Arabidopsis thaliana: one gene and its partner. The protein of the gene in region 1 interacts with the protein of each later gene in a pairwise test. Each region holds a gene or a part of one and is shown in the gene's direction. Other genes may lie near its edges.

Region 1 (16,885 bases):
CGTTCTCTAATAGAATAGGTTTTAAGATATTTCTCATCTTTGTAACTCTGTAATATATATATGCAAATTGAAAAAGAAACAACAACAACAACAACGTTCCCATTTTTGAATCATGTCATTATGTCAATCTCGGTGTAATTAACAATGAGCTGGACGAAGAACACATAGCAAAACCTCCGAGAATGAAGATTGGATCAGTTCAACATCCTAAGCCTTGGTCATCAAATATATATCAGGCTCATGGACGACAGAAGTCCGAGTTTGTAACATGAGAAAAGATATTACAAATTAAGTTTATCACTACGTACGTACTTGATAAGTCTAAATGAAAAGTGATGGAACAAGAAATCTTTAGAATAAACATGTCAAGTGATCATGACATGATGCAACAGCCATGAACAATTATCAGCCACCCTTTCATTACGTAATTAACCATCACATTAAATCTCATGAAGACTTTCTTTATCTCGGCTGTCTCCTGATTAACCGAACCACGACTTCTTCTTCTCAAGAGCTCAAGTGGCTTTTTTGCTTATATTCACAAAATGAATTGATGGCTATTAAGCAAGAGTGAATGAGGATCAAACAGTGCACATTCAAACTTTGGGTCCAAAATCTTTAACGACCATATTCATCATTTAGCTAATTTTGTCTATAAATTGATTATAGCATTTAAAATCAAAATTTCTTTTATTTCCAAGACAAACAGTCATACATATATATGCCAGTTAGCTGTTGTTTTCACCTTTGAATCTTAGAATTTATTTTTTCACCAACGTTGGACATGCTCTTTATAAGAGTTTGGAGGGCTTTTAGTTATGGGGCAACTAAACCTTGCACGGAATTTTCCTTAATTAGTTCATGTTTAAATGTATCATAGTTAACTATGTCATGGTTAATCCACAAAAAAAAAAACATATTGTGTATGTCCAACTACTCATCCATCCTTTTAGGTTCATCCTTGAGAACCTTGCCATATATCTACTTCTTTTTGGGAAGTACGCTCGGTAGTGGAATGGATAGTTGCTTTTTTTTTTTTTTTAAATGGATAGTTGCTTCATCCTCAACTTTAGCCACAAAATCTAAAACTTGGATGGCAGTTTAATATTTTTGATCTGTTAAATCTCGGAGGCGCCAAACTTTTCGTTTGGGTGAAGAGATCCTTTGATAACTCCCAATACACATAATGATCTGATACCAAATTTGTTTTTATTAGTGTCATCTTATATAACATTTTTTATTTATGATAAGATGTGAATATATTACCAAAACGTAGTAAGAATTTTATTTTAATGAGATTTACTAATATAAAGTTTTTTTTGGGTTTTATTTAAATGGGTTAGGAGTGCAATTGAATCATTTTTTCAACTATTTCAACTTAAATAGTAAAAAATTGATTGAATGTTTATTCAACTCTTTTAATTTCTTCAATTACGTCAACCATTTGCACTGGTTTGTCAATTACAGCAATAAGATTTTTCTCTGAAAACTCATTACAAGAAAACTTGTTCTATTCTTTAGTGAGTTTTTAATCTACTAATTATATATATGAAAGTTAGCCAACTCTCTCCATATGATTGACACATCATCACTTTAACATTTGCCATGTATCCACTGAATAATTAATGTAAGCTCTTCAACTTTTAATTTATAGATTAATGATGTATTTATTATTTAATTTTACATATTTAATTGTACTAATACTAAATTTATTTTGTTATTAAATGTTTTTCAATAAAATAATTTGATTGATTTTCTCATACTCAAAAGATTTTTTTCTGTAATCTTAACTCAAATTATGAGTGTATAGTAGTCATGGATTAATTAATAGTTTGAATAGTTTGCATATTGTTATATATCTATATAATAAATCGCCGAGGGTGAAGAGTATGTAAGAAGTTTAATCATCAAATTCTTAGGTTTCGAGAATCCCAATATTACCTTCTATTTAATTAGTTTAAGACGAACATTGTTTAGGAATTGTGTGTATAATGCATTGTTGAGAATGTTGTTAGAAAAAATATATTTTAATATTAAGAATAATTACTTATTATATAAGTAAATGATTAGATAATTAAAAATTATATTTAAATTAAACGATACAAAAAATTTAAAAATACCGCAGCGTAGCGCGGGTGATTACCTAGTCATAGTAAAATTAGTAGTGACAGATTTTAAAAAATGACAAGCTTATGCTAGTAACTTTACAAAATAGATAGCATTATATAAATATTTTACTGTAGTATGAGTCAATACTTTTTTAATTATTAATTTAGTCAATATATGTTAGATGCAAATGTATTTTTTTTTATTGACCAATACTTTGGTAGTATAATATTAGTAGTATTAGATATTATTGGCTATAAATAGATTCAACATTGAAACACAAATCATATATATGAAAGAAGACTAACTCTCTCCCACAACTTGACACATAAGCACATGAGAGCTTGCCACCTAGACTTCATAAAATAAGTAATACATAATTAGTAATTAATTCAACATAACAACTAAAATAGGAGAATATAATTAATGAGAACTTGAACCATCACTCTTTCTACATTTTTAATTCAATATATCCTCTTTAATTTTGAGATCCACTTAAGTGGCTAAAGTGATGATAAAATCCAAACATGTTACACATATTCCTGGCCTAAAAATTAGACGATTATTATGAAAGAAACTAAATGAATATGCAGATTAAATATATCTAAGCTTTTCGATATTTATGCTAAGAAAACAGGTAATTTGAAAGATATTTGAGGAGCTATCCTTATAACTAATACGTAAGATATAAGATTATGACAAGAACTTAACTAAACTTTCTAAGAATATCGAGTTGAATATGCTTAGATTGAATATGCAAAGACATGATTAATAAAGACATGTTATATTTTTAGTGTAAGAAATAATTTTTCTAAAATTTCACTGTCTCACAATCTATACATATAACTAAAAAAGCAAGGATATATAAATTCAAAAAAAAACTAAGAATCTAAAACAACAATAAAAAACAACTCAAGCACATTCGTTTTTCAGATGAACTAATATAGTTGGACTTTTCAAAAACAATTACAAAACATATTTATGTTTCAAAACCTATGCATTCAACTTTACTTTATATAAACAGACATTATATAAAACAATTAGTAAATAGTAATACGTAAACCCGCACGTAGTGCGGGTACTCATCTAATTTGTAAATTAATAATTCCTCAATTTGCACCCAAAAAAAGAATTCCTTAACCACGAAAAAAATAAAAAAACAAAATTACAATTTAAGGGGGAAAGTTATATGAAATTGCAAATATAACCACCAAACAAACAATCGACTATCGAGGTTACCCTTAAGAAAATCTTTATTCGCAAGATCTCTCTCTCTCTCTCTCACTCGACGCACTTTAGAAAGAAACCCTAGTCCGACGACCTCTCCTTCGCCGCTGAATCCTCATCGCTGGTCAGATTTCTATCTATCTCGCTCTTCTATGTTTCCCTATCTCGTTGGTCAGATTTCGAATCTTCTTTTTGTTCTCATGGTTTTTGAGCTCAAAACTTTGGGGTTTCAATGTCTCGATGTTATTTCTTAGCGAGGTTTCAATGTTGGCTAAGTGAAGTTTTGGTATTGTCATTTACAGATTCTTGGCGGCTTTCTTTTTGATGAAATTGGATTACGATGGCTGGATATCCTACTAATGGATCAGTCTACGTTTCAAATCTCCCCTTAGGAACTGACGAGAATATGTTGGCTGACTATTTTGGGACCATTGGGTTGCTTAAGGTATGGTATTGGCCAGGTACTAATTGTTGCTTTTGTTTTGACGTCATTGCAATCTTTTATAGGTCACTAGATTTTCGAGTTTCTTACATTTTTTTCTACATTGCTTTTAGAGAGACAAACGAACTGGTACTCCTAAGGTATGGCTGTACCGGGATAAAGAAACTGATGAGCCCAAGGGAGATGCTACTGTTACCTATGAGGATCCGCATGCTGCTTTGGCTGCTGTTGAATGGTTCAATAACAAAGATTTTCATGGAAACACCATTGGAGTTTTTATGGCCGAGTCGAAGAATAAAAATGCTGGTGATGCAGTTGAGTTTGTTGAATTCGATGGAGGTGCTGAGGAAACAAATGGAGGTGCTGGAAGGGGGAGGGGTCAGGCTGATTCTTCGGCAAAGCCATGGCAGCAAGATGGTGACTGGATGTGCCCTAATACAAGGTCTGTGATGTGATATCGGTGAGGAGCTTCATCTAGCTCTTGTTTCCGTTAATTTGCTAGTTTTTATATATTTTATAGTTTCTAGCAGTAGTGTTCTCATACTCTTTCATTGGCAGTTGTACAAATGTGAATTTTGCATTCCGTGGGGTTTGTAACCGCTGTGGAACTGCTAGACCAGCTGGTGCATCTGGTGGCAGCATGGGTGCTGGTCGTGGAAGGGGTCGAGGTGGAGGCGCTGATGGTGGGGCCCCGGGGAAGCAGCCCAGTGGTGCTCCTACTGGTCTCTTTGGTCCAAATGATTGGGCTTGTCCAATGTAAGCATTCCGATTAGGTTTGAAATAGTTAGTTCAGTTTCAGAGGATAATGAGCGTTTGGTACTTGATTAAAACACATCGCAAGAAACAATTTATATTCAGTAGCAAAAGAGAACATTCAGATGGCATATAGCGTTGCTGGATATAAAATTAATTTGTCTTATGTATGGAAGGAATATAGCTTGTATATCAATGCTTTTGATGATGTCAGTTGACTCTTTACTTAGAAAGAAGTGATGGCCCGCTCTGCTGTGCTGTGTCTCTTAAACTGGTCCAAATTATGTGTGGAGGCACATATTTTTTCCTTCTTTTTTGAATGTTGATTCTAATTTCGTAATTTTCCTTCAGATGGCTGTTAATCTGAAAAATGTAATTTGAAACGTGGGTAGGTTGTAGTCTTGATCCTTCTAAGAAGTTATATTTGTGAAGATAGGCTGCCTTCAATTTTCTGTGTCTGATACAAAAAATGGACTATGTTTTAGTTTAATTGCAAGTTATGCTATGTGTCATCGAGTAGCTTAACTAAGAGGCTGCACTGTGTGAATGTGAGTTCTTATGCATAATGCACTTTTTCTTTTTGCGCTAATTCTTTCAGGTGTGGCAATGTCAACTGGGCGAAACGTCTAAAATGTAATATCTGCAACACCAATAAACCTGGTCAGAATGAAGGTGGTGTGAGGTATGACTCAAAGCCAGTGATAAGATTGCCTTTGTATTGTTATCTTGCAATGTTCGAGCTGAGGATTTGGATTATAAATGATTTTACAGTGAATGTAGGAGAGGTCGTAGATTTTCTGTTCGATGTTTGTAGTTTTGTTGTCAGCAGGGTATATTTATTCTGCTTTTAGACAGGGCCTAATAGATACCTGGGAAAAAGTCTCAATACTCTCTTCTGCAATTTGAACGAGTGCTTGTTTTCTTCGACAATTGATTTATCCCACTTGTAATGTTTTATTTTGGCCAAATTAGAGTTGCATTAAGAAACATTAAGGTTTGAGTTTGGAAGGTTGTTTTTATCTAGACCAGTGCTTATTCATTTTTTTTTCTCTAAATAGGGGAGGCCGTGGTGGTGGTTACAAGGAATTAGATGAACAAGAATTAGAGGAAACGAAGAGACGCAGGCGTGAGGCTGAAGAAGTAAGATATGCTTTTCCTGAAGAGTTCTTTGTTTTTTGTTTTTTTGTTGCAATTCGGATGAGCTCTCAGTTTTTTGTATATTCCATTTGACTTATACGTCTAATATATTTCAGGATGATGGTGAAATGTATGATGAGTTTGGGAATCTAAAGAAGAAGTACCGTGTTAAAACAAACCAAGCTGACACCAGACCTGCTGTTGCTGCTGGTCGTGCTGGGTGGGAAGTCGAGGAACTAGGTAAGTTCTGTTTAATTTTAACTAATATGAACTAAATCTATGCAATCATCAAATAGGTTGAGCTTATGAACAGAACCTTTCCACTATAATAGAGATTTATTTGGCTCGATCTATATCTACTCTCTGTGTATAGTCTTCAAAGAAAGTTTCTGCTTGTCATCTAGACACTTGAGTGAAACTTAACATATATGCGGGGAGGGATTTGTTTGAAATTTTACATTAAGCTTGCAGCTAACTTGCCTATAGCCCAAGCCTAGTGGGGATCTCCAATAAACAGTGTTGTTCCTTGTTAGAGTTTTCTTCTTTTCACTGAATAGATATAGAGGAAGATAGAAAAGAATGTTTATTGCTGCTTCCCCAAAAATAGAAAGGTCATGATCCAATGTAGTTGTTCATAATTTATATGAATGTGGCAGGTATTGATAAAGATGGAAGAGAGAGAAGCAGAGACAGGCAAAGAGACCGTGGTAGAGATCATCACTACGATAAGGATAGACGCAGAAGCAGAAGCCGAGAGAGGGAAAGAGGCAAGGAGCGTGACTATGACTATGACCATGATCGGGACAGAGACAGAGACTACGGTCGCGAACGTGGAAGCAGGTACCGTAACTGAGAGATTACTCATAAGTGTTAGGGTTTAGTTTCTCATCTGTTTTGTCGACTTACTTTTACAACGGTATCATTACAATGTCTTCGCCTTTTGTTTACTTATTGTGTGAAGTGAAACTCATTTTGGTTTGAATCAATGGCTATTGTTTTTCACTTGTTTTGGTCTGATTATGTTCTGAGAATACTCCATGTTTATCGTTTCGAAAATTGGTAATTATGGCAAAACATGGTTAGCGACGTCAATTGCTAATTTAGACGTGTATTAAGTATTATTTTGTCTTTTGTAGTATTATTTTTAGTTGTCCCTTTGTTTTTTTTTCCATCGCCAATCATTTCATCGCTGTATGATTTTAATGGGAATAAAAAAAATAGAACAAGAAGATTTTTGTGGACAATATAGTTTCTGAAACTATAATAGGATAAGAAAAAATTAAGCTTATTTGTGGGGATATATATTAATGTCATATCATTGTCATAAACATGGTCGGCAAAACTTGGGACGGCAGTTTACCAGAATAATCCGGTCGACAGAATTCAACAGTTCCTCTCTCTAAAAGATATGAAGGAGATTAATTTTGGCTTTGTTAGCAAAGATGGCCGGTCCTCTTCTGGCAAATCCGGCTTTTACAAGCGGTTTTGGCCGGCTTTTATCCTTCCTCCGCCGTTCGATCGGTTGTTCTTACCGATTGCTTTAGTTTCTTTTTCAGTTTTTCTTTCAATAATTTCTAAAGATTTCAATTGGAGATTAATTTTAGGTCATAATAGCCTAAGATTAAGTTTTCGGATTTGTATCTTTAGAAAGTTTGATTTGCAGAATTACCTCAAGTATGAAAGGAAGTTTTGTTTCCAGCATATTGGGATTGCCTGTAGCCGTTTCTACATGTTTATGGAGCTTCGATCGATCAAATTTGAGGAATACTCAGATTTTTCTTTCCTCATTACCTGTTTTTGCCAAATCTCTTGATTGATGATTTTGGAATTGAATTCTCTGTTTGTGTATCCTCCCTTCTCTGTTTAGCAGTTTCCGGTGAGAAAAAAACAAAAATCGATGTTTGCCCTTTTTCGACGTTGATTGTGTTCACCGGATCGGAGTCTTTGACGGCACAGGATGACAGGAACGTTTCATCGCTTCTCTTGCAACACGTGTCTTGTTATACGATCGTGTTTTGTTAAAGAGATATCCTTCCTTTAAAGAAATGTAACTAAGTGGACCTTTGTTGGGCTGTATTCTGTGGATCATTAATAAACATAATCTTTCCAGTGAAAAAAAAAAAAAAAAACATGGTCGGATATGGGAAATACGATGAAAAAAGCTCGTCATGGACTCGCACTTAAAACAGGAAAATCTTTTTCGTCTAGACCCCACTTATTCACATGCACTACGACATAATTCCAAATTCTTTTAAAAAAAAAGAAGAAGTTAATAGAAAGAGTGACCAAAGTACAGTATATGATGATATTTATAACATACAGTTAAACTTCTATAAATTAATAGTCGATAAATTAATAACCTTTATAAATTAATAAATTTTTCCAATCCCGAATTTGTACCAGTGTAAAAAGTGACACAAATCGATAAATTAATAAGATAATAACTTTTTTGAAAGTTCTATGTAAATATATGGTCCCATCAATATCATAAATTAATAATTGTATAAATATATCAATTATATATATACATTATATGTAGGAATTTTTCTGAAATATAATTCTAATATTTTTTTGCTTAAATTTGTATTTATTTTTATTTAAAATTTAGTTCTCGTATTTTACTGTATCAAAAACTTTTGGTGTTGTTTTCTAAACATGATATTATTGTTTAGTTGTAATTGATTCTTGAAAGATATTTTCTATAATGAAAAAAATCCTATAATTTTTTTTGAAAAGTTACTAAATTAGGAAAATCTCTCTATAAATTAATAAATATTAATTTATCGATAAATTAAAACCTCTCTAAATTAATAAAATTTTGTAGTCCCAACATTATTAATTTATAGAGGTTTTACTGTATGTTGTGTTTAGTAATGCTGTATTAATTTTTTTAGTGACCTTTCAAACACTTTGAAGTTTTGATATTCATGTTTGAGTTTGAAAAGCTCATGTACAATATGAACCGAATACTTGACAGTGAAAAATAATTATCATAATTTCTTAAAAGTCAATCCTTCTCAAAGATATAGGAATCAAAATTCTACAGCATTCTTTTAAAAACAACATAACAAGACAAACAAAAGAAATCAATTTATGGGAATTTGAGAGACTTTGGAATTTATGTGGTTTTATTATACTAGCTCAACATAAACTTTGTCTTACTTACCTCTAATTTCTCAAACTTAGATTCAGTTTATATATTTTTGTGCATTTTACAGGTGTAAATAAAGCCAAATGAAACACTATATATATCCACTCATTTACATGTGCCCACTATAATTATTGCTCTATTCAATCCAAGAAAAAAACACAGAGGAAGAACAGAAAAAAGCTCACAAAGTCACAAGACCTCAGTAGGCTTCCTAGTTGTTCTATGAAATGTCTCCTCTCAACGATCTTAAGATCAATCTCAATGGCCAATACACATTCTTCCTCAATCAGGTAAAGAACCAAACCTAAAACTCAGTTCAAAAAACCACAGTCTTGATTATGCTCTGTTCTTAATTCTCTATGTGCTCTGTTTTAGAACGTGATTTCAAAGTACTCTGGAAGCTTGAGGAAGATGATTAAACAGAGCAAAAAGAAGAGAAACAAGAAAAAGAGAATCATCACTATCGAGATTAATGATTTTCCAGGAGGACCAGATGGGTTTGAGCTGGTTTCAAGGTTCTGTTACCACAACGGAGAAATCTTAATCGACGTCTCAAACGTCTCGACTTTGTACTGCTGCTCTGTTTTTCTAGGCATGTCGGAGAAGTTCTGTTTCTCTAATCTCTTCCTTCAGACAGAGAAGTTTCTAGAAGAAGTGTTCTATGGGTCTTGGAGCGACATCGTTTCGTGTCTCAAGAACTGCGAGCAAGTGTTCTTCCAAGCAGATTCGTATGGTCTTGTAGATAAACTCATTTTCGCAGCTTTGAACAAAATCTCTCAGAATTCAGACGATTTTTCTTCTTCTTCGCTTTCTTCCTTCGCCTCTTCTCTTTCTCCTGAGATGGCCAAGAACACGTCAGAATCAGACGGTAGGTATATTTCGCGGTCTGTTGCTTGCGGAAGAAGCAACGAGTGGTGGTTCGAAGATATGACAAATCTTTCCCCGAAGATCATATTGAAGCTAGTTATGATCATTGGAGCTTACAAAACCAACATAAAAAGCTTAGTCCTAACCAGATTTCTTCTCCATTATCTCAAGACAAAACTCCAAACCAAATCAAGAACTACCACTGAGCTTATGAGGAACAAGCTCGAGTACTCAGATTTAGCTGACACAGCGGTTAGAGGAGTGATTTCCGCAGGGACACGTACGTTTTCTTGCAGGAAACTCTTCTGGATTCTTCGAGTTTTATCCAGTTTTAGCCTAAGTAGAGAGTCAAGAATCGGTTTAGAAACCCTAATAGGAGAAATGCTGGAACAAGCAACACTTGATGATCTTCTGATATCTGCAAGAGGAAGCAGAGAAAGTGGTTTCTACAATGTTGATCTTGTGATAAGATTACTAAAAGTATTTGTGAAGAACAGAGAAGAAGAAGAAGAAGAATCAAGAGAGAGGAATATGAAAGAAATTGGGAAATTGATTGATAAGTATTTGAGAGAAATATCTCCAGATCAGAATTTGAAAGTCCCCAAGTTTCTTGGTGTTGCAGAGAGCTTGCCGGATTCAGCTAGAGATTGCTTTGATGGAGTTTACAGAGCAATTGACATCTATCTACAGGTCAGTTTTTTTTTTTTGTTAAGTTATAAGTTTTACTATTATTTTTTTGTTTTTCTTGAATTTCTTCACCAACTAAATGATTGAGCCAAAAATGTTTTTTATCCTGCAAAAGTGAGACACAAAATAGAGAATAATTTTAATTTTCTATATGTATTGGACATATAGAAGATGACAAGTGCCATACAGATTTCAATACCATTTGCTTATTAATACATTTTGGCTTTATATATTTATTATGAAGAGTTGAAATAGAGTCAACTATTCTTTTATTCATCATAAACATAAAAGATTTGAAGTTTGAGACTTTGGGATATAAAGCCAAACTAAGTTTTAATATAAAACCGAAAATGTATCAAAGAAAAGATTTGAAGTTTTTTGAGATTAACGTGTATTAATAATATACACACATGGATGTATATATATGATTAAGAAGATTTGGAGTCATCCTTTAGATTCTTCACTCTGTCTTGTTACTGCCGTGGGGTTCATGTCAGACCCACAAGGCCACAACAGTCTTGACTGTATGTTTCTTCTTGTTTTTCTCTGTAATACTATTAGTAAAAATATCTTAAAAAGGAATAATTCTGGTAAGGTACTATCAGTTACACTTGAAATACATGTCAAAGACTAACAATTATTCATGTACTTTTCTATTCACATGTTTTACTGGAATTAACAATAGTTCATCATTTTCAAAAATTGTAGAAATAATGATTATTATGTCAGTGTATGATTGATTCCTTTATAATTTCTGTTGTTTTGTTATTGTACAGTCTCATCCGAATCTAACACCCCAAGATCGAACAGAGATATGTCGATGTCTCAACTACAAGAAACTAACAATGGAGACGTGCAAACAGCTCGCCAGAAACCCTAAGATCCCTCCAGAAATCGCCATTGAAGCACTCAAGTCCAGATGTGGGAATCAAGAACACACAACTTCAGATGTTAAAGTTGCAAACAAGAGTTTTTCTTGTAGATATTCAGAAGAGAAGAAGAAGCCTGTAGTATTGCATCTCGAGATAACAGAGAAATTAGCCGAGAGGTTGAAGACTAAAGGAGGATATAATTTGAAGGTTATGGATAGTTTCAGAGAAGGCTTATGAGGAAAATGGTAAACGTCCCAAGTCATGATTCAGCAGTCACATCTTCCAATTCATCTGGCAATCTCATTTGCACCCCAACAGTGTCGAGAGTCTTGTACAAATCATCAGATTCAAGGGGTTTCTTATCATCGAAAGCTATGAATTCACAAAGCTTGCCTTTCACTTCGATCCAACTAAATCCTGGCGATTTCACCACCTGTTGATCTTTCATTTGCTTTCTTACCCGAGCGACTTCATCCCAGTTTTGGGATTCCGAGTACAAATTAGCCAAGAGAGTGTATCTCCCACTATGACTAGGTTGCAGCTTGATCACACGGGAGGCTGCGTATTTACCTAACTCATAGTCTTTGTGTAACAAACAAGAGCCGAACAGAGCTCCCCATACCACATTTGTTGGCTCCATTGGCATTCTTTCTATCAAAGCTTTCGCCTCTTCTAGCAAACCTTTTCTTCCAAATAAATCAACCATACACGCATAGTGATCCGCTTTTGGCTCCATATTGAAACGTCCCTTCATGCTCAGGAAAAGCCTTCGACCCTCTTCCACAAGACCTCCATGAGCGCAGGCACTTAAGACAGCCATGAAAGTAACTTCATTTGGTGAAACATGACTACTCAACATGGTATAAAAGAGATCAAATGCATCTCTAGCATATCCGTGTGCTGCAAATCCATTAATCATCGCGGTCCAAGTATACACATTTTTCTCATGAAGTCTCTCAAAAACAAGTATAGCTTCCTCTAAACACCCGCACTTGACATAAAGATCAATCAATGTAGTTCCAGCTGTAGTGTTTATCTCAATCGAATTCTTAATCATATAACAATGCACCCTTCTTCCTCGGTGAAGTGCCCCGACATGAGCGCACGCCGAAAGAACACTGCTTAGAGTCTTCTCATTAGGCGCAACATCACTCTTTAACATCTCCTCGAAAACCAACATCCCTTTATCGAAGCAACGGCTTTGCACATATCCAGCAATCAACGCCGTCCAAGTAACCACGTTTCTGCTAGGCATTTCATCGAACACTTTCTGGGCATCATCATAACAACTACATTTCCCATACATATCTACTAGAGAACTTCCTATGAACACATCGCATTTCACTCTCCCTGTTTCTAAGTAAAGCCCATGAACGCTTCTCCCAAATCGAACATCTTCAACCTTCCCTGCAGCTTTCAAGACGCTAACAACGGTCATTTCGTTAGCCGCGACTCCAGTCTTCTTCATCTCCACGAAATACACCATTGCTTCCGAAGCAGAACCATTTCTCACAAACCCATCAATCATTGCAGTCCAAGTAACCACGTCCTTATCTTCAGCTCCATCAAAAAGACGACTTGCAAAATCGAATAACCCAGAACTAGAATAACCCGAAATCAACGAATTCCTGACAAAAGGATCCGAATCCAACCCGAATTTAACGATATGAGCATGAAACTGAAACGGGTTCGAGTCTCTCAGTTTGAAAACCGCTTTGAGAAGCGGAGGAAACGTGTGGCGGCTAGGGATGACGCCGTTTCGCCGCATATGACGATAAGCAAGAAATGATAACCGACGGTTGAGAGTAATCCCGCCGGAGAAGTGACCAATGAGCGAATCCCATAGTTGAATGCTCAGAGTTTGGAGTTGACATAATAAACGACGAGCGTAGCGGAATTGAGTTGCGGCGGTGCAGCAGCGACGGAGAAGACGTGAGAGAAAGAGATCGCGACGAGTATAGAATATCGGAGAAGTTAGGAGTAAGCAATGGATCTGCTTGAGATGAAGAAAGTGTAATGGAAGATCAAGCAATGTTTTGAGCTCAATCATGTGAATTGAGAAGTAAGCAAAAGAGAGAGAGAGAGGGGGTGGTTAATACTTCAATTCGAATTTTCCAGTTTTCAGATTTCAGATTTCAAAGGAACCGAACCGAACCGACATTAAACCAAAATTCCCATTCAATTGAATCGAAGTGACTCTGAATATCAGTCGGTTTAGTTTTTATATATTTTTTTTAATAGCCGTAGAGGGGGAGACGAGGGTTCGATCCACGTGTCAAACAGTCCAGAGAAAAAAACAGAAGTAAGAAGAGAAGAAAATGAACTTCTTCTTCTGCAATTTTTCTAACTTTGTTAGCTTCTACAGATTTTGCTACGAGCCATTGGAGAAACTGTTATTGCCCTAAAGATATGCGTTATTTTTCTCCTTCTTCTTCGGATACGATTCATAGATGATTCCACAAACTTCTTCTTCGAATTTTGATTTCCGATTACCTGTTGATGTGTCTTGCACTCTGCTCTGTCCATGCTCTAATGAGCTCCGCGCGGTTTTTTTTACAAGGAGTCGGGTTCTGCGTCCGAGCGTCAAAATTTCGAACTTTAGGTTTATTTCCTGTGGATTTCGTGGGAATTCGAAAAACCTAAGATTGACGGATTCTAGTAGAAAGGCTGCAAATAGGTTTGTAATTGCTAGGTTTACGAATGAATTTGAAGACGAGGGTAGTTCGAAAGAGTCCAATGACCAAGCCAATTTCAGTAACTTTAGGGAAGATCCGATAGTGGATAAGCTTAGGACCCAGTTAGGTGTAATCCATCCACTTCCGTCACCGACCATTAATCGTAGTGTAATTAGTCTATTCGTCTTCTTCTTTTTCGTTGGTGTTGCTTTTGATAAGCTATGGACTTGGAGAAAGAGGCAAAGAGAAACAGGTGGAGATGGAAACCAACGAGGAGTAGGGCCATGGCCACAGGTTCCCACCAGCTTCTCTTTGTTCCTAGAGAAGGATTTGCAAAGGAAAGAGTCCGTGGAGTGGGTCAACATGGTGTTAGGGAAGCTCTGGAAAGTGTATAGAGCGGGTATTGAGAATTGGCTCGTTGGTTTGTTACAGCCTGTGATTGATGACTTGAAAAAGCCTGATTATGTGCAGAGAGTTGAGATTAAGCAGTTTTCTTTAGGGGATGAGCCGTTGTCTGTCAGAAATGTTGAGAGGAAGACATCTCGCCGTGCCAATGACTTGCAGTACGTGTATACTTGTTTGGTACTAACAAAGTTTTCTGCGTTGATTAATTGCTGGGATTGCTCTTACTTGGTTTCAATTGTATATTGTTTTGCAACCATTGAATCTCTTGATGAGATTTATTTGGCTTTCATTTCAGTTAGAGTTCACGAAATAATCTTCATTTGAAGAGTGACCTTTCTTTGAGCATGATTTATGTACATAATTTGGGGCATTGGCTACTTCAAACTGTTTATCTGTGGCTCAGTTCGAGGTTTCTTATCATGTCATTCTTTCCTGTTATAGGTACCAAATTGGCCTTCGGTATACTGGCGGTGCACGCATGTTGTTAATGCTCTCTTTGAAATTCGGTGTTATCCCAATAGTTGTTCCAGTTGGTGTCCGAGATTTTGACATTGATGGTGAGCTTTGGGTCAAACTAAGATTAATACCGACACAACCTTGGGTGGGAGCTGTATCATGTTCGTTTGTATCACTTCCAAAGGTCACATTTCAACTTGCAGCATTCAGATTGTTTAATCTAATGGGTATGCGTTTATCTTGGTCTTCTGATCCATTCCCGTGATATTGTTTGTGTTGCTTCCTTCCTATCCAAAAAATTAAACAGACAAGCCTTTTTTAGTGAAATTTGAAACTGGTGACGATATAATGGGGAAAGGTTAAGTCATCGGCGATTGTTTTAGTGAAGAGAGTTTTAGCTTTCGCGTTCGCCGCAACTCACACATTTTATTTTTCTTTTGTCATGAATGGCATGGATTATGAATTCAGGAATTCCCGTTCTATCAATGTAAGTTCTGTTGTGGCTGTTACTTCACGATTTTTTATATTGAAAAACTGTCCATATCATTGTTCAATACTACATGGACTTAGTGGATAGAAAGGGCCACTTTGCTTGCTTAGATGATGTTCTGTATTTTATCTAACTGCAATGAACTTTTACTAATTTAGCGAGCATATAGTGTAAGATGCTTTGGTGCATTGTTCTGGTTAGATACCAGTATTTCATTTTGTTTACTGTGGAGTCTTTAAGCTCCTCGACGTTTTGCAATAGTGGGTTCCTTCTTCCCTCCTATTATTTTACCCAGCATCGTCTCTTACAGGTTCTTGACCAAACTGCTGACTGTGGATTTGCCTCGATTATTTGTCCGACCGAAGAAAATTGTCTTGGACTTTCAGAAAGGAAAAGCTGTTGGACCTGTTTTAGAAGACCTGAAATCAGGAGAAATGCAGGAAGGCAATAAGGATTTTGTCGGGGAACTATCTGTTACTCTTGTTGACGCCCAGAAACTTCGATACATGTTTTTTGGTAAGCTATAGTTCCTTTACATGTCAGTGTTTCCTTCATAGTTGGAAAAGTGGAATAGACAGACAATCTATTGCTGAAGTATCAGCCTCTTTGTGCAAGTTCAGTCGACTTTCTTGGGAATAAAGTAGCTATACTAATTGAGTCTATTGGTGAGATGTTTTGTTTTCCTCGGTAATTGGTAACAGGTAAAACGGATCCATATGCAATTCTCAGATTAGGGGATCAAGTTATCCGTAGTAAAAGGAACAGTCAAACTACTGTCATTGGGGCTCCTGGTCAGCCAATTTGGAATCAGGTGAACTGCTTTGGATGGTTCATTCACAATCTGGTGGTGAATTATGATTATTTAAGGATTGAAATGTAAATAGATAAGTGTGTATTCTTTAACTTTGCAGGACTTTCAATTCCTTGTTTCAAATCCTAGAGAGCAAGTATTACAAATTGAGGTCAATGATCGTCTTGGGTTTGCTGATATGGCTATTGGTACTGGAGAGGTAAATAATATTTCCTTGGGTACATATTTTTTTTTGTAATCTGTAGAATAATAGGCGTTGAGTACGTATTCTGTGGATCTCTTTAATGATTGCTTGAGGAATGTTGCTTAATATTTATGTTACTGTCTGCATAGCCTTATTATTTAGTTATATGTCCAGGTTGATCTCAGATTTCTGCAAGATACGGTTCCTACAGACAGAATTGTGGTTTTGCGTGGTGGTTGGAGTTTGTTTGGAAAGGGATCTGCGGGTGAGATACTGCTACGGCTTACATACAAATCATATGTGGAGGAGGAAGAAGATGACAAGACCAATGTCAAAGCCATTGATACTTCTGACGATGAAATGTCTGATTCAGAAGAACTTGGCTCATTTGTGCGGAAGGGAAAGCTTTCGTCAGATGATATTGATCAAGAGTCATTTATGAACGTGTTGTCTGCATTGATTGTGAGTGAGGAGTTTCAAGGCATAGTTTCATCTGAAGCTAGAGACGGTATAATTGATGGTGGTGACTCACTTGGGGCACCAGTACCTTCTAAGCCAGATACTAGTAAGGGGTCTGAAAGAAACGCAGATGTATCAAATTTGGATTTGTTAGTTGCAAATT
Region 2 (16,668 bases), on another chromosome or scaffold:
AGATCTTCAACGGAGCTAGAAATGAAGCTGACAAGCAAACTGCTTTTACCAACACCAGAATCACCAATCAACAAGATCTTAAAAGACAGATCGTATCCACTTTGCCCAGAAGAAGATCCCATTTTCTAAAACCTCAGATTTGCTGTTTCTCGATCTGTAATTCTAGAAGATCAAATCAAATCCTACTTAACCACCAACTACTACAAAAGCAAACTTTTAGATAAACAATAATATGAATCTATGAAGCAGTAATGATGATAATGATAATGATAATGATGCTTCCTCGTTTGATAATTACATCTATCTGCACTCTCTACTTTATAAGTAGTAGCAATCTAAGAAAAAGGGAGAATTTTTATTTGCCTGTGAATGATGCAAACAAATGTTTTGATTAAAATAAGGAAAAGAAATGTGATGAAGAAACTGGAAGATTTATTCTTTACGGAGAAAGAGAGGAGAACTGGTAAAATGAGAGTTTTTTTTTTTTTTTTCTTTTGAAGAAGAAGACAAGACACAGACCTGAGATAGTAACGTTTGTTCTTTGCTTTCTTCTCTCCGACACTTTGCTTCACTCAAACGTCTCTGTTTTGGTTTCCAGGTTCTTTTGTCGACGTGTGTGTGTAGCGTTTTGGAATCGCGGCTGCGGTTGCCATATCTATTAACCACTGCGGTTGGAGACTAACCGTTTTCGTGGGCTACCAATTGAAACGATTTGATTTTGTCAGTTAGTTTGTTAAAGCGTTTTAAATTAGCGATTGTAAAAAGGGAATGAGCATTATTTTTGGACAGACTAATTTAAACAGTCTAAAAAATTAGACGATTCATTGAACCGCTTAGAAAAAGTGGTTGGAATTCATTATTATTTTTAAATTTTAATGTGTCTATACTTTCATGAATTTTGTTTTTTATATCTATAAAACAATTTATGATATGTCACTAGCTTACTATACATATTTTTTTAGTCATTAACATCATTTCTCATTGCTTTAGGCTATATTGTATTCTCTACAATATAAATTGAAATAAGGAAAAAAAAAACTTACAATGACTAAATTTTAGTCACCAATGGAACTAATTATTTTGTAAGAAGGTTGAAAACTACTTTTTTTTTTTTCTAGAAGAGTCGGCGAACAGTGATGGTTAAATGAATTATGGGAGCCATGTTTGGCCTTCGTCTGCTGTCAGCCAAGCCCCTGCGAAACCCCACCCCTGGCCTGTGCAAAAGTTTACGCGCGCATTCTGAGAACGTGCTTTCCACGCTCCGATTAAGACGTCACTAAGAGTCAAAGCACTTTGATTTTCTCTTCTTTTCTCACAAAACACTTTCTTTTTTTATATACAGTATGATTTTTTTTTTTGTCGTCATTTTTTTTTATTTATTTATTTAATATGCCTCTTATGGTAAAACATATTTCAAGAAGGTTTATGTTTCTATAAACTAAAAGTTATCAACGGCAGATGAATAAATATGGAACTAATTTTCTCTCTAAATATCCAAAAATATGAGAATGTTGTCCATGGTTTTGGGAACAGAATGAGTGACGGAAAAGCCATGAAAAGAAAAGGTATCTTAGGAATATCATCTTCCTTTTGCTCGCCTAACCTTTTTTTATTGTTCTTCTCTTTTTGAATTTAAAATATTTTTCTGCTCTCTAGTAAACATTTAAACCATCGTAATAAATTGAGAATAAAGTGTGTGTATGTTTGTGTGTGTGAATGTTCGGTGTGATTTCAATTTATTGGAGGATAGAACTGTTGTGTCGAAATTGACACACCAAGGTGCCAAGTTGAGTACAAAATAAAGATCCTCTAGAGGCTACATCTTCGTCTAACAATCCTCATAAGTCTTCTTCTTCTTCTTTTTTTTTTAGTTTTCAACACACTAATGTCAAGTGTTTTGTTCATTTCTTTTTAGTTATAATATGTCTCTTGAGAAAATGTTGATATTTAGTTTGTTGTTGAGCCATTTATTTTCTGAGACAAATTTGGTCGTTAATGGATAATATTCTTAGAGATAGATCTACAGTACTGTGACTTTTGTGTAAAAACAAATTTGTAGCCGTATTTAATGGGCTATTTCGTATTTGGACAATAGCCTTTTATTTTGTGGGCCATGATATGTCAACACTGCTCAATGCTTATAAATGTTGTCGACATTTAACGAACGATATAACACCAAAAACTTCGAGTTTGTAAAGAAAAATTATGAGAGGATTACATTATGGTTAGCATATCTGACTATAATAAATTGAAAAATTACATTACTGGTTGATGGAAAGACAAATTTTTATTGAAGTGTACTTATTTCTTTAATTTTATTGGAATATAATATTCGATATGTGTTATTATGGTTAGCGTCTGCATATATTAATTTACGATTACATTATTGGTTAATGGAAATACAAAATTTTATTGAACCTTAATTATTTCTATAATTCTGTTATAAAAATATTTAAAACAGAGGTCAATATTTTTAAGAGAATGTTCAACAATCTGGTTAAGTAAGGGGAAAGAAAAAGCTTAGCTGGCTTTGAACCGGCTCGGCATTCCTCTGTCACCCACCAAACCAAACCGAGTCATCCTTCGTCGTCTCTCTTTCTTTTTCTTCAACTTCCATTTTTCGAAAGGCGACGAGAAAAAGTATTTCTCCAGTTTTGGAATTCGCCATGGCTGTTGATAGCAGAATGGATCTGCTAAGCGAAAGAGCTGTGTTGATGAGAGCATCTCTTCAAAAGAGTCAAACCATCACCGATAATGTTGTTTCTATCCTCGGCTCCTTCGATAGTCGTCTGTCTGCTCTTGAAACCGCCATGCGTCCTACTCAGGTGTGGTTTAGAGTGCTCCGATCATCTTCTCTGATTGTTTTCTAATCCAGATCTGGTATTATAGCTCTATGGAGTTTTGCTGACTTGATCGGATTTTGGTTTGACTGTGTTTTGAAATCTCAGATTAGGACTCATGCTATAAGGAAAGCTCATGAGAATATTGATAGGACTCTTAAGGCTGCTGAAGTTATTTTGTCTCAATTCGATCTCCTCCGTCAGGTTTGTTTTACAAATCTTGCTTCTGATTTTACTAACATGGATCGGTATAAATAGATAGAATTGATAATGATCTACATTGAGAATAGATAGTCTTTGATTATGCTCTCAATTCAATTCTAGGCAGAGACTAAAGTACTCAAGGGGCCACATGAGGACCTGGAAAGTTATCTGGATGCAATTGCTCAACTCAGAAAGATTATTCGTTATTTTATGAGCAACAAAAGCTTTAAGAGTAGTGATGGAGTTCTCAACCACGCAAATAGTTTGCTTGCTAAAGCACAGTCAAAGCTGGAGGAAGAGTTTAAGCAGTTGCTAGCTTCTTACAGGTTTGTGCTTCTGCGCCTGATAAGAGTTTAAGAAGCTACATGATTTCAAACTTGATGCTCTTGCTATAACTATGACTCATACCTTGTAACTTCAGGGAACAAAGCTATTGTGGATTTTTAGCTACTTTTTCTAGTTAGTATTTTTTTGGGAACTGGTCTTCGCTCTATGATGGTCTTACTTCTTTAGTTATCTTTCAAATAACCTAGAATACTTAGAATGACCTTTTATCTAAATTATCGGAGTTGTCACCTGACAAAGATTTTTTTTTGTGAAATCAAACACTTGTCAATATACAAGTTTCCTATGATACGAGTGTTCCAGACAACTGGTTTTAGATGGAAGAATGCTAAGGCCAACTCTTTTTTTTTGTTATAATCAGTAAAGCGGTGGAGCCTGATCGCCTATTTGATGGCCTTCCCAACTCACTGAGACCATCCTCAGACGGGGATGGAGGTGGAAAACCCCACGGAGGACATCACAATGATGACGCGGAAACTGCTGCTTATACACTTCCAATCCTCATTCCGTCACGGGTGTTGCCACTTTTGCATGACTTGGCACAGCAAATGGTTCAGGCTGGTCACCAACAACAGTTGCTACAAATTTATAGGTGAACTATTGATTCTTGGTCATTCATCCTGTATGTCGTACAGTTCATTTTCAAATCAGGCTCTTAGCTTAAATTTTCAACTAATAATTGTAGCATGAGTCAAAGTACTGAGTCAAGGTATAGTTTCTTTGAACGATTGCGGGTATACAATTAACTTACATATAATTCTCACCAGTCACCGCTCATTTACAAAGTAGTTTTTCCATGGTTTCTGCAAGTTGTGAGTTTATATTTGACTATCCTTCTGCTGTTTCACTAGTAAAGCTAAAGAGAAATGTTTTTGAAATATGAATTTCTATTGACACTCATCAAATAGTTTGGCTGTGATGTGCACATCGTGTACTCCGCTGTTTGTGCTTACCTGATCTGAAAACATTATTGCTAGATGCAATTCTGTTTGTCTCATATGTGTAATGCATTGGAGAAGCTTTGTCTTTTTTCTTCTATATGAACTACTAGTATTGTCAGATATAAGCAGCGAATTGCATAATCTACTGGCATTTTCCCAATGCATATTTAAGATGCATTTGTGTTTTTGAATTTGTTATTAATCTCCTTCTGTTCAACCTGTTGTGTTTTGTTCAGGGACACACGTTCCTTTGTCTTGGAAGAAAGCTTAAAGAAATTGGGAGTTGAAAAACTTAGCAAAGAGGATGTCCAGAGGATGCAGTGGGAAGTTTTGGAGGCCAAAATTGGAAATTGGATCCATTTCATGCGCATTGCTGTAAGAACTCTAGTTAAGGATGGAAATAACTTTAACATGTTTTGTTCACTTTTAACTCAAGATATTTTGTTCAACAGGTTAAATTACTCTTTGCTGGAGAAAGACAAGTATGTGACCAGATATTCCGAGGCTTCGATTCTCTAAGTGATCAGTGTTTTGCAGAAGTTACAGTGAGCAGTGTCTCAATGCTACTTAGCTTTGGGGATGCTATAGCCAGGAGCAAGAGATCTCCAGAAAAGTTGTTTGTACTCTTAGACATGTATGAGATAATGCGGGAGCTTCATACAGAGGTAATAATCTTCTCATTAATATCATTAAGTCGCCATACATTTACTGAAGAGTCTTCTGTTAAATGGAAAAATTATTCTTTAGTTTCAGCTTTTGGTGGATTTTTTCTGATCTTTAAGAATGTCAGTTTTCAGTATCATGAACTTTGGTACATACTTGATTCACCTTCAAACCTGTATTCATTTGTATAAGCTAGTGAGGTGAAATGTTATAGAATATAGGATGCTGCAAACGTCTAGTTTTATTGACACTGACACACATAACGATTTACCATATTAAGACGTAAAACTTCAGTTTGCATACGCATAGAGTTCACCACTTACTTCTTAGAGATGTCAAACCTAGCTGCTTTGTTTACTTGAGGAGTAATATATGGAAAGTGATTGTCTTTAATGTTTTTCTTCCCATGTGGAGTTTCTATCAATCAGATATGTTTTTGACCAACTGAAATCCCCACCATAATAAACAGCATGGCACACAGAGAAAAAACTTTGTGATACATATGTAGTGGAAGTTTGCTATCTAGGACGACATAAAGTGTGAATTTTCTTATGACCAGTTTATGGTATAAGATTAGATGGTACAATCTCATGAAATTTGTGTCCATGGACAGATTGAGACAATTTTCAAAGGGAAAGCATGCCTCGAAATTAGAGATTCTGCGACGGGCTTGACAAAGCGGTTGGCGCAAACTGCTCAGGAAACATTTGGTGATTTTGAAGAAGCTGTTGAGAAAGATGCTACAAAGACTGCTGTTCTAGATGGAACTGTCCACCCACTAACAAGCTATGTCATCAATTATGTCAAGTTTTTATTCGAGTAAGTACATCATATATACTCAACTTATTTCCTCGAACTATTTGCGTATTGTTCTTCTCCATACTGCTATTTGCGTATTGTCCCTTTCCACGCTTTAATTGATGATCATTGGTGTCAGCTACCAAACAACATTGAAGCAACTTTTCTTGGAATTTGGAAATGGAGATGACTCAAATTCGCAGCTAGCATCCGTAACGATGCGGATAATGCAGGCGCTTCAAAACAACTTGGACGGAAAATCGAAACAGTACAAAGATCCTGCATTGACACACTTGTTCCTGATGAACAACATTCATTACATGGTCAGATCTGTGCGCAGGTATATTATTTTTCTCGTTTAAACTTTAAAGGCTGATCTGGTTTTATTAAAAAAATAAAAGAACGCACTCATTTAGCTTTATTCATATGATAATTTTTCAGGTCAGAAGCCAAGGATTTGTTAGGCGATGATTGGGTTCAAAGACATAGGCGTATCGTGCAGCAACATGCAAACCAATACAAAAGAGTTGCCTGGACAAAGGTTCTGTCTATTTGTCTAACTCTGTAAAGAAACACTATTATATAAAATTTCATTAAATTGTTACTAAGAAACTGTTACATATTTTGTAGATACTACAAAGCTCATCGGCGCAAGGTTTGACCTCATCTGGGGGAGGAAGTTTAGAGGGAGGAAACAGCAGTGGAGTTTCAAGAGGATTATTAAAAGAGAGGTAAGTCCTAAACATGTAAAATAAACACAGTAATTGGCAAATGTTTATATATTTGGTAATGATGATAAATCTGTAAAAAAAAAATGGAACAGGTTCAAGATGTTCAATATGCAGTTTGATGAGTTGCATCAGAGACAATCGCAATGGACAGTTCCAGACACAGAGTTAAGAGAGTCACTAAGACTTGCTGTTGCTGAAGTATTATTGCCTGCTTATAGATCATTCCTCAAACGCTTTGGGTAAAAATCTCCTTTCTCTCTTTACTGCGAAGGCTTTTCTAATATTTGATTGAAATGTAAAAAAACCTAAATGAGATTTTAACCTATGATCGATGCAGGCCTTTGGTTGAGAGTGGGAAGAATCCTCAGAAATACATAAAGTATACAGCTGAAGATCTTGAAAGATTGTTGGGTGAGTTGTTTGAAGGAAAGTCTATGAATGAACCACGCCGGTAAAAAAACAACTAAAAGATGATGAAAACTAATTGTGTAAGGTAAATTTCTATCAAACTCTTCTTTTTTTTGGCTTACCTTACATAACTAGGTTCGTTGCTATTGTATATGCAGTGTCAACTTTTCGTTTTTTGTATTCTACTATTCTTTGGTTGGAATGAGAATGTGTAAATTACTTGGAGACAGAGTTGTTTCCTTTTGTATACGTTAAACGTTTTGAAATAACCATGGCCTAATAAGTCTAATCTCAACTCACAAGGATATGAAATCTTTTTTCTTAGAATGAAATTAATCGGAAATCAAAATCCTAGGCGTAATTTATAAAAAAAAATATGCAGTGAAGGAGCTAAGTTATAAGTTGATATGATTGACAATTGCTTTGAGACGAGCTTTGGTACTAAAGATCGAGCCAATAATATTTGTCCGAACAGCTGAACTAAGCTTGGGGACAAGATTGTCATGCGGATCAATTCTGTTATTTTCTTAATGGATTTTAGGTGATTAATCAGTTGTTATTGAACAGAACAAGACAGATAGAGCTCTACCGACTTGCATACTTAAATGAAAGAAATATGATTTATTAGTAAAATAAAGAGTGATGAGATGGTTTTGTTGTTTTAAAACACACATGTTTGGTAATTGGCATATTCCTTTTAGAAGATCCAAATTCTCCCAACATCTTTACATGGACTTCCCCATTTCCATCATCTCCTTCCACTTTTTTCCCAAAATAATATAAAAAAATGATAATTTGAATCGATGTAATGAGTGTATTCAACCTCTTGTATAATTTGTCTCCATGACCAAAGACAAAGAGAGAAGCCATAAAAACCCTAACAACATCCATTGTTGAAACTCTCTTTGGCACAACACCAAACACACAAAATATGGCCATCCCCTAAAGAAACTGAAGCTCAAGAACCCTCTGAATCTATCAGAAGATCTCACCAATAAAGGGTTTTGAGAGGTTCAAGTTTCTCTTTATGGGATGGCCCCAAACACAAGAGTACTCACAAAAGGTAAGAAGAAGAAGAGATCTCTTGGAGATTATGATTGTGAATGTTCGTGTGTGGGTGTTGTGTAAATGATCATCATCATCATCATCATCATTATCCAATATCATAATTATCAATATGGTGATGATGATGATGATGAGGATTGTGTGTGAATGGAGCGATGAAGATTGCATGAAGGTTGATGAAGACAAGCTTGATGTGTCTTTTGTTATCCCTCGTTTGGGCAACTTCGATCCTTTGGCAAGCTTCGGTTCCCCTCGGAATCAGCAGATTATGATTACTATAGCTCTTATATGTTTATGTTCCGTGTTTACTTTGTTTCCGGTTTAGTTTGGTTTATTGTCTTTAATTTCGTCATGTTTGTGTTGAATGTGTGTTGTTGTTATCCCGTGTGATGCACCATTCAGGTGTGTTCCTATGTGTGTGTGAGGAATAAAAGAATATTCGGTTTTGATATCTAAAATCAAACCCCACTTCTACCTTTCATTAATAGTGAGTGTCTTCAAACAATTTTGTTTTAGCAATCTGTGTATACCTTTATCAAAAATACTTTTAAGCTGGCCCATTCTTAGCCCATTAATAGTCCAGTTTTAGCCAATTGAAATCGGGTAAATTTAAACACATTCATTCTTCTAATATGAGCATCTATGAAGAAACCCAAGAGAGCCCTAATCAAACCGTGTCTGACAAGCTATTAAATAAAAAGTCGTATAAAGTAAAACAAACTAGAAAACCTACTACAGAAAACGTAGGGGTATCTAATTATGTTTTTTTCCGAATAATACATGATTATTGTTTCTAGATAAACAATCCATAATAATAATATTAAAAAAAAAAAAAGATTAGATAACCCTAAATAACCATTATGTTATTCTAAAGTGTTTTAGAAAAAATTAAAATATAGTCGCCCATCTTTTGTTGCGTGTATCCAGCTTGGTTGCTTCTTCAACTTCTTCTTCTCCTTTTTCCTCTCACTATTGAGATCAGTCGCAGTCATCACGAGTTTCTTGACCTCTAGTTTGAGTTCCAGAATCCGTTCTTCAGAAGTCTTCTTCTCCAAGGAAACCATGTCAAGCTTTGACTGCAACCAATCCAGGTTAAAACCGGCTTGTGTCAGATCACACATATCCTTTGAAGCTTTGCTCAATTCTGCTTCGGTGAGATAACCAAGAGGCGTGTGGTAAAGTATCCCGATGATGTCGCAGAGAAGGTTCATTTAAGTATTCCTGAGAGCTTGGTTTTGCACTTTGACATGGTCTGTAGTTTCTGGATATGTCTGAAAAATCCACTTTGCTAACGTTATGTGACAAGAATCAATGGCAAAACCATTGACTCTAATCTTTCTTCGTCTATGCAACAACGGAATTTGGTCCCCCATAACTTGGCTTTTGATTTCGGTATAGGTAATTAATGTCAGAGCAAAAAGTTTTTTTTGTTTTTTTTTTGCTTCATGAATGATTGTTTTAGAACTCGCTCTCTTTATATAGAGGAGGCAGAAGCTTTCTAATTCCTAAACCAAATCGAAATCGAGTTTGTTAATTCTTTTAGATTTCGGTTTAATTTTAAAATAAGATAACTTTAAGATTACAAAAAAGGAAATCATATATATATATATATATATATATATATATATATATATATAACTGTTTTTTTTTAGATTTTGTTTGAACTAGTAATAATTAGTGAACCTGAAAATTCGCATAATGTTTTCCCTTTCTGAAACGTCTCAAATTTATCAATAATTAGTGGATTATTTTTAAAAGTTGCGATTGCTTGATGGGCTGTGACAAATAAACCTAATGTACTCATAATTGGGTAAATACACTATACACATTTTCTGAACCAAACTGTAATGAGAAAATAAGATAAGATCATTATCAGCCAAGGCATGATGAGTCAGTAGTCAAAATCCTACAATGAAGATGTTGAAAACCAGAGCAAACTCAACTATGGGCCCTTTTGAGATCTCCATCAAAGCTCCAATCTTTAACCATGCACAGATGGATTATTCGTGGATCTATGCCACACTCATAGATGAAACCACTGCTCTCAAGCTTTACAGTCAAAGTAACATTATATCACATTCATTGACAACGACCTTAAGTGTAAGTAGATGGGGATGCAACGTATATTGTTTCCTGTAGAAAGCATTTGCACATGTTTTATGGAGGATAAAATCATATTTTATACATGAATAGTAATTACCTTCATAGATAGCACATGCTTGAAAAAACGCTTTTTATAGGTGTTTTCATCATAAAGTTTATGACATTAACATGTTTTTTCAAGCAGTACGATGTTCTATCTAAAAGGTAATTATTATTCATGTATGGAATGTGATTTCATTCTCCACGAAACATGTGCAAATGCTTCCCGCAGAAAACAACATGCGTTACATCCCCATATATCTACTTATACTTAAGGTCGTTGTAAATGGATATGATGATTGAAAAAGGTTACTTCAACTGCAAACCTTGTTATTGTTATTCCAATCACGAGTATCACATAAAAAGGATTGTCACTTCCGACTATGAGCAATCATTTTTTCCTAGCTTTACACCCAAGAGAAACGCCACGATACCATGTCTGCAAAATAGGTAACTATCATTAGCTACTACGATCAAAATATCGAATGTCAAAATTTCTTAAAACACACGCAACCACAAATTTGTTCTAGATCTTGCGAGTATAAGAGTCACTGGATATGAAACCTGGACTATCGATGTGAAGAATCTCCCCGCTTGGCGAGGTGGAAGTGATATGGTCAGGGGAAGAATCGAGATGGTAAACGCCGGTATACTCTTCGGATTTAGCTAATGTATTTCGTCGCAATTTGATTTAGATGAGAGTTTATAAGAGTATACAAGATGAACTTCTTGGCTAATTTATCACATCTTGAAGATTTGGATGGTTGTGATAATGTTCTTCTCCTTCTTTCTCTTTACTTTATATACTATACATAACAAAACTCAACGTGGCTTTGCACATGGTTGTCTTCATATGATAATAATACATTAATGGTTTCAGATCTTAGATCTAGATACAGTTCGTTTCGTGACAGCTGTTTATATTAAAATAGAAAGCTACATTAATTACTGCATTCAAAGTTACTTTATGTTAATGATGTTGATTGGTTTTTTAAATCACATTGGATTCGCACTATGGAACAAATATTGACTTCTTAAAGTTTGAAAGTTTCTTTACGGGCTGAAGCAAGCCCATGGGCTGTAACAAATTCGTAAAGCTATTTAAGATCCCAATATGCTCATTGTTAACAAAAAGTTATTAGTCTGCATGAAAATCAATATTATGAAATTAAATCCGTAATGAGTAATGACAATTCTTTTCTTTTGTTCTTCTGTTTAATTTTACATCTGTGATGACTTATATTTAGTTACTTACGAAACCAATTAAATGCAAAGATTTACAAAAGCGGATGTGAAGAAGAAGACAACGAGCTCTGTTTCCTTCCCAGACGAGACATTATGATCCAATAGACAAATCCTGCGATGATGAAGCTGAAAAACAAAGCATTGTCGTAAACAACGACGAACCCATTTGAGATCTTCGACAAAGCACTGATCTTGTGTAGAAAACCAGGCACGACTGGGATTATTCCGGCGACCAAAGCGACGACCGCTGCGACATTATACCCCTTAGAGAAATAATATTCGCCGGAGGGACTCAAAGAGTACAAATCTCCAATGTTCAGTTTCATCTTCTTGATCAGGTAATAATCGACAAGAATTATGCCTCCGATTGGACCAAGAAGCGCTGAGTACCCTATGAGCCATGTGTACACAAAGCTCTCGCTCGATTTAAGCAATCTCCATGGCTGAAACACGATTCCGAGAACTGCGGTCAAGAAGGCTCCTCTTCCGAATGTGAAAAACTTAGGGTTTAGATTCACAAGCGCATTTGCTGGGGCGACCACGTTTGCAGCTATGTTTGTAGTGAGTGTGGCTAGGGATATTCCGACGATAGCGAGTAGAGTTGTGGCGAGGCCTCCAATTTGACCGAGAAGCTCAATCGGATTGGATATGACTCTTCCAAAGATGATACTTGTGGAGGACGTAACAGCTACGCCAACAAACGTAAACAACCCCATGAAAACAGGAAGACCAACTTGACCGATGATTTGATCCGTCTGTGATTTTGCAAACCGGGAAAAATCAGGGATGTTTAAAGCTAGAGTTGCCCAGAAGCTTATGTTTGCGGTTAGGGACGGGAAGAAGAGAGTCCAGAACTGAGCAGAGGTTAGCTTGGATGATAAGGAAAGCATGTGACCAAATCCACCGGCTTTGAGATAGGACCAGGCAAGGAGGCAGGACGTGAGACTGATCAGAATTGGAGCTGAGTACTTTTCCAGCTTTCTGATTCCATCCATACCTCTCCAGACAATACAAAGCTGAGCCAACCAGAAGACAATAAAACAAGAGAACTCAAGGGGAGAAGTGCCGAGCCAAGGTAGTGTATGAGACAAAGCAGACTTCTTAATATGACCCGGTAAGAGCAAGAAGATAGCTTCACCTCCGATCCATGTCTCGATACCATACCATCCGCAACCGACTAATGCTCTGAGTAGAGTCGGGATGTGAGCTCCACGGATACCAAATGATGATCTAGCAAGGACAGGGAAGGAAATTCCGTACAGAGTGCCAGGCTGAGCGGTGAGGACCAGCGGCACAAGTAGTATTAGATTGGCTGTAACAACTGTGGCGATCCCTTGCCACCACGCCATGCCAAGATCCACTAGGCTCCCGGCGAGGTAGTAAGTAGGCACACCAACTACGAGACCGATCCATAAACTTGACATATCCAACCATGAAAACGTTCTCTGGCTTGGAGTTGTCGGTTTCAAGTCGTCATTCGTGAGGGATGGGTCGAATTGGGACTCGTCGTACCCGTGGTCATTAATTTCTGAGCCGGTCATCGCTGAGAGTCGTGGGCGGATGACACCAGATCGGCTCAAAACCAAGTTGTCACCAGGCAGGATCGGACTGAAGCTGTGCTTGCCCAATTCATAGTGTTTGCTACTTTTGCGTTGAATGTCGAACGTAGACACACAAGAAGTGTAGGAACTCTTGTGGCTTGAATCTGTGAATGAGACATGTTGATAGAGTTTAGCTTTTGTGCGAGATCTTAAAGAAGAAAGAGAATGACGATTGTGTTTGTGGGGATGGAGATTGAGATGGAGACTAAGGCTTAAGCAATTGGAGACCATTGAGTCTTCTTTCTCACACAGAAAAGAGAGAAAGAGAAAGAATTGTGAGATGGAAATTGTGTGGTGGTGTTCTGTTTAAGTTCTCTAAGAAACATGTGGTTGGACATGAACCATGTGTTTAGTGGATGTTTCGTCGCTATCACATCTCATTTTCTTTTACTTAATACGGAAAAAACTTAAAATAAGATTCGATTTCTTTCTTTTTTCAGCAAAAAAGAGTTTTTTTTTTTCTTTTCAATCTTACTTGATTCGTTGACTTCCATTAGCCTACTCATTTAGAGAAATTATTCAAATTAAAGAACGTGATTTGATCCCTAAAGACTTCTTTCTTAGCTATAATTATCTTTCAAGAGAGTATTTGATGGATACAACATACATGAAACAACTCAAACACTTGTTTCTTATTCTTTTTATATCTAGCCTAAGCACCAATAGCCACATTGACTCGTATACTATCAATAGATATACTACAAACACAAGAACATAGTAGTGTGACCAACCTTTTGGCTTCTGAAGATGTTATTCTTTCAAGCGATCAATCTCTTTCTCCCACTTCAGTCCAAACATTTGACGGCCGAAAGGAACGATCAGATTGTACCTGAATACCTGTCAACAAACAAGAGACCACATAAGCAAACCATTATATATCGCAAACAGAATCTTGATTTGTAGTTGAATACTTGCCATGTTATTGATTTGTTTCAATTCGTTTTTCAGCAAATCTGATCTCTCTTCCCATCCCGATTGGTCTTCCTCGAGTTTCATTGTCCATGCTTTCTTCAGTGAAACTCTCCATTCTTTTGCTTTGTTTCTTATCTCTTTGTTGAGCTCCACCCATTCGGGAGCAAACCCGTTCTTGTTAAGAATCCGATACAATGTATCCTCCGCTGGGTCTGCGTGAGGATTTGTATGGAGGTTCAAGGGTTTGCCTTTACCGGGTAAGTTCTCAAAGTGGCCTTCTTCCATTGAATGCCATATCCTTTGCTCGACCACGTTGATTATATCAGTCTCTGACCTGCAACATCATCCCATGTTAGTATCCGTTACAAGCAGGTCAAATCAATAACATATTTCACAAGAAGAAGAATCTCATCTGGGAGATTAATAAAACCACAATGCAAGAAAAAAGCAACAAGCTAAGCTTCTCTGACAACAAAATGTCATATATTCCACGGAAAAACATAAAGCTACTGCGCAATTGTGTCAACATCTAAAAAACAAAAGACTCAGCAACATACTCAGACGCATCGCATAAAGGCCAGCTGTTCTACCTATTGAAAGATCACCAAACACTACAACTACTTATCAAATAAAAGGTTGATGACAGTCCTAAAGACTTGGCCTCTTTTATATTCGAGAGCCTCTCTCACAGCTTTCTCATCAGGCACAAAACCCTTTCCCTTCATTTCTTGCAACAATTCTCTAGCTGATTCTTCTTTTCCCTCTCTTACAAAAGCTTCAAACACTGCAGTGTAAGTGGCAGCATTAGGGCTCATGCCATTTCCCATCATTTCCAACAAGTACTTCTTCGCATCCTTATGTGTTTTACCATCCGCTGCAAGCCCTTTGATCAAAACTGAATACGTATAGGCATTAGGCGAAACACCACTGGCGAGCATACGCATGAAAACCTTGAGAGTCTCCTTGGCCTGGCCTGCATTAGCATAGGCCTCAACAATAGCAGTATGAGCCACCACGTCTGGCATTCGATTCTTATCTTTAATCTGAGAGAAGAGCTCTAACGCCTCATGTGTGCGGCCATCTTTAGACAACGCATCAAACATTTTCACAGCTTCATTAGTAAAACCCTCTGTTCTCATCTTGTGGAATATTTCTTGGAGATTCTTAGGATCCTCTGGTTCCTCAATCGCCGGTTTCTTGCTGAAAGGGTCATACGGAGGAGGTGGAGGCTCCTGCTTCTTTGAATCTTCAGTAACCTGAGTTTCAGTTTCCTCATCTGAATCATCATCAGACAGAGAGAAATTGACTTTGGTGTTAACTCGCTTAGTCTCTGAACTGAATTGCCTTGCAAAAACTCCACCGCAAAACCATGGAAACAGTGAATTTGAATTGCGCTTGGACCTTGAAATTGACATGTGAAGAAGAAAACGCTAAATCAAGGTAAGAGACGTGTCCAGAGATTTGAATTTTCATTAAATTCTCAACGAAACCTATGAACCCTAACTATATAACATATCGATTCCAAAGTCCTAATACGTACAGTAATGTGAGCACAGAAAGATGGAAAGAGACTATACCTTACGAAATCGCGCCGCCCACGTAGCTCCGGCGGGAGTTTCCGGTCATGGACTGCGTCAATCACGGCAGAGAAACGCTCTGTAGTCTTCTTCTCTTTCCTCTTCGATGACGCCGTCAAATCATCGGGAGACGACCACCAAGAGGACGAAGACGAATAAAAGGCGAAAGCTCTAACGAAATCAGAAAACTCGCCGCCGTTAATCGCAGATGAAGTGATATCTGAGGCTGAGAAGCGATTTCCGAGGGATAAACACGATGGACGTGACGAGGGTGACGCAGCCAATGACCTCGCGAGACGAACCGCCATGGCCGAAGCTCAGGGAGAGAGTAGTCGGAATGTTCTGGATAAATGACTTACGTAACCCGGAAGAGTGGTTTAGAATACGCGCCGTTTACGCGTTTAACACATCATGCCGTTTTCTTCATAAGAATATACAAAACGTGCCGTTTAATTTTCGGGTCTGCTTCGGCCCATATAACTAGCCCATTTATAGATTGTTGGATACGTGGATTAATTAAAAAGAATATTTTGTTGATGATCCAATAGATAGAGAAACAAACCCATTAGACATCGTGGGATTTGATATTTTGTTGGACGTACATATTTTTTTTTAACAAAATCACATCCCTAAACGTTATTCAATTGTTTCTTACTTTCTTTTGTTGATGAAACATCGTTTGCCACCACCTATTTTGCTGTGAAAAGTTGCTAATTTTATGGAAAAGGTGTTTCAGACCAAAAACAATAAATCTACATAAATAATATTGAACTCAAAAGTCATGTATTAATTTCTTGTAATGTACATATTTTTTAATTGTGACAGCATAACGTGTCAATCAGTTTAGAATTAGGTACCAACACTTTGACTGTATTAAGACATGATGCATGCTACATAAAAGTTCATGTTTTAATATACAACAATGTTTCTTATCCGTATGTGTATTTTATATATTTCATGATTTGAGATATAATGAGAAGATAATGTTGAAGCTTTTAATAGGACGAATTGTTGTATTGTATGTAACAAGTTGTGTATATAAACTATGGCTGATGGCTCTCACAAGAAAACGTTGTCTTATTTACTCAGTCGTTGTGATGTCCGAGGCGCTTTTTTTTTGTTTGTTTATTAGTATGATCACTGAGATATTCTAACGGACGGGACATAAACGACGATTAAAAAATTATGGTACCTGA

The links.
Region 2: the proteins of AT1G50290 (region 1) and AT5G03545 interact in a protein complementation assay, tested with the Arabidopsis thaliana proteins (one large-scale study listed by BioGRID).

What each region holds. Positions count from the first base shown.
Region 1 is NC_003070.9:18,618,451-18,635,335, reverse strand, and holds AT1G50290 (uncharacterized protein), read left to right. Parts: upstream 1-6,883; 5' UTR 6,884-7,073; coding exon 7,074-7,478; 3' UTR 7,479-7,785; downstream 7,786-16,885. Other genes in the region: TAF15 (TBP-associated factor 15), read left to right, coding at 3,674-3,778, 3,889-4,217, 4,334-4,531, 5,127-5,210, 5,587-5,668, 5,782-5,905, 6,322-6,518; AT1G50280 (Phototropic-responsive NPH3 family protein), read left to right, coding at 9,044-9,106, 9,192-10,373, 11,147-11,479; AT1G50270 (Pentatricopeptide repeat (PPR) superfamily protein), read right to left, coding at 11,502-13,292; NTMC2T5.1 (N-terminal-transmembrane-C2 domain type 5.1), read left to right, coding at 13,693-14,480, 14,764-15,005, 15,247-15,265, 15,579-15,784, 15,970-16,079, 16,180-16,278, 16,438-16,885.
Region 2 is NC_003076.8:886,940-903,607, forward strand, and holds AT5G03545 (expressed in response to phosphate starvation protein), read left to right. Parts: upstream 1-7,642; 5' UTR 7,643-8,107; coding exon 8,108-8,320; 3' UTR 8,321-8,578; downstream 8,579-16,668. Other genes in the region: RABC2A (RAB GTPase homolog C2A), read right to left, coding at 1-122; EXO70A1 (exocyst subunit exo70 family protein A1), read left to right, coding at 2,667-2,825, 2,949-3,044, 3,165-3,370, 3,578-3,655, 3,751-3,981, 4,567-4,705, 4,783-4,995, 5,607-5,812 and 5 more; AT5G03550 (MATH domain/coiled-coil protein), read right to left, coding at 8,874-9,206; AT5G03553 (uncharacterized protein), read left to right, coding at 9,907-10,057, 10,684-10,718; NCS1 (permease, cytosine/purines, uracil, thiamine, allantoin family protein), read right to left, coding at 11,415-13,214; AT5G03560 (Tetratricopeptide repeat (TPR)-like superfamily protein), read right to left, coding at 14,513-15,296, 15,473-15,780.